2 linked regions of the Nothobranchius furzeri genome follow. The protein of the gene in region 1 interacts with the protein of each later gene in a pairwise test. Links are inferred from orthologs where the notes say so. Each region holds a gene or a part of one and is shown in the gene's direction. Other genes may lie near its edges.

What was found.
Region 2: the proteins of ankrd13a (region 1) and qdpra interact in a two-hybrid assay, tested with the Homo sapiens proteins (2 studies listed by BioGRID). The two-hybrid records come from large-scale screens. The link is inferred for Nothobranchius furzeri from reciprocal best matches to the Homo sapiens genes ANKRD13A and QDPR.

Annotation. Positions count from the first base shown.
Region 1 is NC_091757.1:45,582,143-45,585,897, forward strand, and holds the start of ankrd13a (ankyrin repeat domain-containing protein 13A), read left to right. Parts: upstream 1-1,319; 5' UTR 1,320-1,491; coding exon 1,492-1,599; intron 1,600-2,372; coding exon 2,373-2,508; intron 2,509-2,736; coding exon 2,737-2,861; intron 2,862-2,940; coding exon 2,941-2,986; intron 2,987-3,422; coding exon 3,423-3,566; intron 3,567-3,649; coding exon 3,650-3,755. UniProt on the Homo sapiens protein: Ubiquitin-binding protein that specifically recognizes and binds 'Lys-63'-linked ubiquitin. Does not bind 'Lys-48'-linked ubiquitin.
Region 2 is NC_091741.1:74,699,029-74,702,565, reverse strand, and holds the end of qdpra (dihydropteridine reductase), read left to right. Parts: intron 1-2,130; coding exon 2,131-2,233; 3' UTR 2,234-3,011; downstream 3,012-3,537. UniProt on the Homo sapiens protein: Catalyzes the conversion of quinonoid dihydrobiopterin into tetrahydrobiopterin.

The DNA of each region.
Region 1 (3,755 bases):
TTTCCGTTATGATAACATTTGATGTGGTTCCGCGTTAGCTAAACTTCGCTCTTTGAGCAAACCAATCATCGAATTGCTAAACTATTTCATTTAGGTAAATGTCTAGCGTGTCGATTTAGCTAGTGTGTGCCACGAGTGATATTAAATAGCCTCTCAGGACTTAACAGCTTGCCTGGTATCAAGCTGACAAGGCACCACCTGCCTTGCTTCCTAGCCCAATGCACATATGGTAGTTTACTGATCGAAAGCAGCTGCGACCAATTCGTATGAGTTATTGAACCCACAGCCTAGACTGGCAGGAAATAAACCCTGTAATAACAACATTACTACACAAATTACGCCTCTTGGTTAAACAGTAATGTATAAGCAATTAAAATATTTATATTTATTGTTTGGGGGTATATTTAGCTTATTTAAACCTAAAAACAGCGCAAAATCATGTCTATTGTTAACCTGAGAGGGAAAATTGAGGGCAATAAAACACTGCTGCTCACAGAGACGCAGAAGGTGCGTTTGATCTATTAACCTTGTAGCACGGTGGAATAGTTGAATTTACACCTAATTTAAAACTTTACACACCACAAGTATGATTTCTGCCTTGTTCATAAAATAGGTGCGGGGCTGGAGTTATTTTTGCACATGATTGATCTCATTGATTAAAGGTTTTAATTCATCGTGCATAACAAAACATTAAATAACTCTCTGAGAAAATTACCACATAAATACATGAATTAAAAATATATAATAACAAAAGTGAAGAAGTGCCATATAATGCAATATGTAATATTTATTAATATTAAATATGATTCGGGAGGTGATTCTACGGACGGTGCAGTGTTACATTTTTAACCTCCCCAAAACGTAAAAGTAACGAGGATATGTCAGTCAAATCTGTGATTTTATTCATTCAAGCACAATGCTTACCTTTTATTTAATTTATTTTTACATTCTACAACAAGATGAATGCTAAGAATTAAATATTGAATGTTTAAAATATGCTCAGCTAAGGCGTTTGTATATTTTAGACATGATTCTTATCCCCCCATGCTAACATGTCAAATGGTTTCGTCCAAACTGGAACCGTCTATCAATAAATAAATAACAACAGCGCCTTTTGTTCCAAAATCGTGACTTTGTTTTGTGTCTTCAAAATTAAAACTTATTTTTACGTTTAATTTATTATAATTCTATAATTTGTTTTAATCATGATTAAAAAAAACGTGATTGTGTATAGGGTTAGGTAAGTAGGACACCCCTGTCATTACGAGGTTGCTCTTCCTGGCACTTCCTTGTTCAAAAGTTTTTTTTTTTATGGGAAGGCTCCAGGGGAGAAAGTTGGTCATCAGATTGTGTTTCTAACTTAAATTCTACGGTCATCTCTGAAGACGTGGACTATGCGTGTCGCATATTTTGATTTAACTAGCTACGGCAGCTGATTTGATGGGTGGTTTTTAACGACTGTCAGCGGTGAAAGGCTGGAGAAAGAGGAAGATGTCGATGGCTAACGTTAGCGAAGACATCCGAGAGAAGTTTCCTCTTCATTCCGCTGTTTGGGAGAATGATTTCAGGAAACTGGAGGAGGAATTACGATCGCTGCAGGTTAGTAGATGCGACGAACTTTTTATTATCCACACATCTGTGTTTTAGTGGTTAAACAAAACGAAACCGGAGTTAGCTGTTTGGTGGCCTTAGTTGAAAGTAGGCCATTGATGTTGACAGATGCTGCTGACACACACACACACACACACACACACACACACACACACACACACACACACACACACACACACACACACACACACAGTCTGAAATATTATAGATCAAACTGAGTGGTTCAAGGTTAACATCCTTCATAGACGTAATAATACAGACATGGGCGAACCATAAATGACACATATAACATGGGATAATAATATTTAAGAATATGTGTTTATTAGTTGTTTATTACTCATATATTTTTTATTTATTGCATCTAGTGTGAAATAACTGAGCACAAAATCAGCCTTATGATGTATTTTTATTTTAAAATCGTTAAAAGGCCGTATAAATCAGCGTTACTCACTCGTACCTGTAGTCTCTCTTGCATTGTGATACATTTTGTGTCGTATTGCCAGATCTTACCAATACACACCTCAAGTTTTCACAGTGTAATTTGCTCAGATCACCAACTATTAACATAGTTATTATATAGTGACTTGTATGAGAAACGTGCATGAAGCTGTTATTGTGGTAAGTACAGTCAGTCATTTACTATTATCAGCAAACGCTTAAATGATTAGTTAGATTGTTGTTTAGTTACAAATCCTGCACAAAATATACGTTTATCATCATCTGGTGTTTAACTATTTAAATTATCTGATATTTTTCCTCAGAATGAAATTGAGACTATGGACCCTAGGGGTCGGACCCCTTTGCACCTGGCTGTGTCCCTGGGACACCTGGAGACCGTAAGAGTCCTCCTGAGACATGGCGCTCAAGTAACTAAAGAAAATGCCCATAACTGGACAGGTTAGCTCTACACCTGAATAAGATGACAGATGAAATAACTCTCTGGGTTTCTTCATCACTTAGAACCCTTCATATATTTTTAATGGGATTTCTGATTTATGCATAGCACACTCTTTATTGTTTCGGTGAAACAGTTACTGTTGCAGTGAGGTTTTGTAATGGGGAATGTGCTATGTTGGTCCTTAAAAAGGTTTAGTGGTTTTCCGAACGCTTGTTTTTTGTGTGTAGTGCTACAGGAAGCGGTCAGCACTGGAGATCCGGAGATGGTTCAGTTAGTGCTTCAACGCAGAGACTACCTCAAAGCCTCCACTGCTCTGGGAGGAGTGCCTGAACTGCTGCTGAAGATCCGAGAGGTTGTTACCCATTCGTGTGTGTGAGCCTGGAAACAATTACCTGACAAATAAGCATGGGTCTGATTTTATTTATCTCCAGTCTCCAGACTTTTATATGGAAATGAAGTGGGAATTTACCAGCTGGAGTAAGTTTTTCTTTTATTATTATATTTTAGAAGTTTAGAGAAAAGGTTTCCCTGATTTGAACATTGATGTTCTTTTGTGTGCAGGGGTTTCCCTGATTCATGGTAATATCGGCTAAGTAGAGTTTATTTTGTTTTGTTGCCACCGATTACCCCAGTTGTGTTAATTAAGTCTCTATTGGTTCATTTTCTTTTGTGTAAATAAATGTGTTTAAGTTTAGCTTTTAACATCCCAGACAAGCCCCCATTTGTTACCCCAGGACCCCTCGATAGCATGGGTTGTAACAGTCATTCAAGTCAGAGGAAGCATTTCTAACGATGTAGCACCTGATGACTGGCTTAGAATGCTTCATCAGAGCCTACAGGTCAAAGGACATACCTACAAGTTTATCGAACCACATTCTTTTCATTGGGATGTTTTCTCACACGGTTGTTTTAGTTCCTCTTCTGTCCCGGATTTGTCCGAGTGACGTTTGCCGCATTTGGAAAAGTGGCGCCTGCCTGCGAGTGGACACCACTCTCCTCGGATTTGAAAACATGACCTGGATCAGAGGTCGCCGAAGTTACATCTTCAGAGGAGACGGTGTGTGTTTGAATCACAACACCAAAATCCCCAATTCTGTTTATGAAAGCTATTTCTGTAAAGGGCTGTTTGTATGCTGACAGAGTCATGTGCTGAGCTGATGGAGATGAACCACGATGATGGAGTTGTTGACGTCGAGCGCTTCAACATATCTCAAGAAGTAGAGGATGTCACGCTGGAGTCGATGCA
Region 2 (3,537 bases), on another chromosome or scaffold:
CCCTTGCAAGGGTGATGGAGGGGGCATGGGAGTTTGCCCAACCAATCCACATGTGCTTTGTGGATTTGGAGAAGGCTTATGACCGTGTCCCCAGGGGCACCCTGTGGGGGACGCTCCAGGAGTATGGGGTGGGTGGCTTTCTGTTAAGGGCCATTCAGTCCCTTTACCAGAGGAGCGTGAGTTTGGTCCGCATAGCCGGTAGTAAGTGGGACCTGTTCCCAGTGAGGGTTGGACTCCGCCAGGGCTGCCCTTTGTCACCGGTTCTGTTCATCACTTTTATGGACAGAATTTCTAGACGCAGCCGTGGTGTGGAGTGTGTCGAGTTTGGTGGCAGGAGAATCTCGTCTCTGCTTTTTGCGGATGATGTGGTCCTCCTAGCTTCATCCAGCTCTGACCTTCAGCTCTTGCTGGGTAGGTTCGCGGCCGAATGTGAAGCGGCTGGGATGAGGATCAGCACCTCCAAATCTGAGACCATGGTTCTCGACCGGAAAAGGGTGGCTTGCCACCTCCGGGTCGGGGGAGAGGTCCTACCTCAAGTGGAGGAGTTTAAGTATCTTGGGGTCTTGTTCACGAGTGAGGGGAGGAGGGATCGGGAGATCGACAGGCGGATTGGTTCGGCGTCTGCAGTGATGCGGACGCTGAGCCGATCTGTCGTGGGGAAGAGGGAGCTGAGCCAGAAAGCCAGGCTCTCGATTTACCGGTCGATCTACGTCCCAATCCTCACCTATGGTCATGAGCTTTGGGTAATGACCGAAAGAACGAGATCGCGGATACAAGCGGCCGAAATGAGTTTCCTCCGTAGGGTGGCCGGGCTCAGCCTTAGAGATAGGGTGAGGAGCTCGGACATTCGGGAGGGACTCGGAGTAGAACCGCTGCTCCTCCGGATCGAAAGGAGCCAGTTGAGGTTGTTTGGGCATCTGGCCAGGATGCCTCCTGGACGCCTCCCCGGGGAGGTGATTCGGGCATGTCCTGCCGGCAGAAGGCCCCCGGGTCGACCCAGGACACGTTGGAGAGGTTACATCTCCAATCTGGTCCGGGAACGCCTTGGGGTCCTGCCGGAGGAGCTGGTGGACAAGGCCGGGGAGAGGACGGCCTGGAGCTCCCTAGTTGGGATGCTGCCCCCGCGACCCGGACCCGGATAAGCGGAGGAAGACGAAGACGAAGCATTTATCAAGCAGATTTCTTTTCTGGAACATAAATATACATTTAAATAGAATTCAGCAGAAGTCCTATGCTGCCCACAGGTGGGCCTGTTTTTAAATGAGCTCTTCTAAAGAGGTATATTGGCTGATGCTGAGATATATATATATATATATATATATATATATATATATATATATATATATATATATATATATATATATATATAAAAAGTAAATATTGGCCAGATATATCAGCCGACCAGTATATCAGTCTATCCCTGGACTGAAATAACACAGAAAAAAGAGAAACTCAAGTTTAAAGTCATAGTTTCTGATGTGATCTCCAATCCATTCATAATGAAAGATGTTTGCACGTAAATCCATTTAAACAGCCTGAGAATTATGGCTAAAATATGTAAATATGTCACAATCAGTCATGTTATTGGCAGCAGTAGCTCATGAGGTACAGCGGGTTGTCTAGTAATCAGAAGGTTGTAGGTTCAATCCCGGTGTCAGAGAATGCTGCTGTTGTGTCTTTGGGGCAAGACACTTAACCCGCTTTGCCTGCTGGCGGTGATCGAAGGGACTGATGGCACCAGTGCTTGGCAGTCTTGCTTCCACCATTGTGCCCCAGGGCAGCTGTGGCTACATTGTAGCTCATTTTCACCAGCGTGTGAATGGGTGGATGACAGATTGTGTTGTAAAGTGCCTTGGGGGGTTGTAGAACCCTACAAAGGTGCAATACAAATACAAGCCTTTTACCATTCTTATATCTAAACATACTGCTAATATAGCATCAAATACAGTTGGCTTTGTATACCAAAGTGTCTAGAATTGTCTTTATGGAAATGTTACTATTTTTCTTCTTGGATTTTTTTTTTTTTTTTTTTTTTTTTTACCAAAAAGCTTAACCCTAATTTGGCGTTTTATTGCTTTGTCTGTGTGAGTAAACCTCCTGAACAGTGCTTCTCTTTTTGTTTGGGTGCAGGATGTTCTTCGGCTGGGCCACAGGGGAGAACCGGCCAGCTTCAGGAAGCCTGATGCAGCTCCTAACCTCTGGAGGAGATACACAGGCTGTGGCCAGTCTGTAAAGAACGGAGCAAAGCTGTGGCAATGTGGAGGGGGAGTCAGAGATGGAGGTAGTAGAGGAGGGAGGAATAGAAACAGAAGGCGTAATGGGGAAGACAGAAGGTGACAGAATAAGGAACGTGTACAGGAGATGGCCAGATGGGTGTATTGTGGGGGAAGAGGGGAGTGGGTTTTGTTACAAACACTGCCTCACACCGCCATCTAGCTGTTGTTTACCACAGCTTTTACCCTGTAACAGGCAATCTGACTGAGAGGTCTTCTGTAATGGAAATAAACTGCTCACCAAAGGACCATTAAGACACAAAGTTTCATTCAATGTTCAGTCTTGTGTAATTGTGCTGAATTAGAAGCATGCCAACATGTTGGTCAATCATTTTAGAGAGGCTGGTGTGAAAACAGGAGATAAAGATGACCTATGTTGGTGAACCCAAAACATTTGTGATGTCAGTTATGGTGGTATTAATACACTTTTCTGAAAAACTGATAAAATTTAAAAAGATGTCCTCATATGTGTGAAGCCATTCATTCTTTCATTCAACGTGTGCCCAGTATCAATTGTAAGAAATTATGATGTGATCCTTCATTGTCTCCGAAGAGCCTCAGCCTCTGCAGAACCTCAAGGAACAAAGAAAATATGGAGTGGCCTTAAACTTTAGTTTGTAGCCTCCAAGTGTCCTTTGTGCCCATCATGTTAAAGATGGTGCTCTGATCCTGCTGTGAGTTCTCCTAAATGTTGTCTTGTTACAGTTGGAATTCACAATAAACTGGGTCAAAAATCAACTATGGTTCCAGTTACATTTTGAAAACATAACTGACACTCCTACAACCAATACATTTGGCCTAAATTACATGTGCTCTCGTTACAAAACAAACTGGTCCTTAGGAATTTAAAACATTTTGATCCATGTTAAAGAGACGATGTGTTGTTTTTACTGGTAGTCTCTGGAAATATCATCAAAGATTTTGAAAATTAAATATTGCCCAGTTGTTGATACATTGGCAGCTTCGTAACATATAAGAATAAAACATCAGGTCTAAAATGCATGGGAGTGGGTCTAAGTGCCTTTTCTAAAAATGTGTTTTCATATGAAAGTAGTTCATGCCCCCTATCGCCAGGGGAAATACACATTGTTAATGTTTATTTTTTTATTAAGTTTGAGATTTGATCCTCCTGTAACTAAGTGGTACAAGTTCTGCTTTATTTGAAGCATCTGCTCCAGATGAAGACTCAAATATTTAGCATCTCTGTATAAGAATGTCCACTAGATGGTGCTCTTTACCAACTGTCAGCTTCACGCTTGCTCTG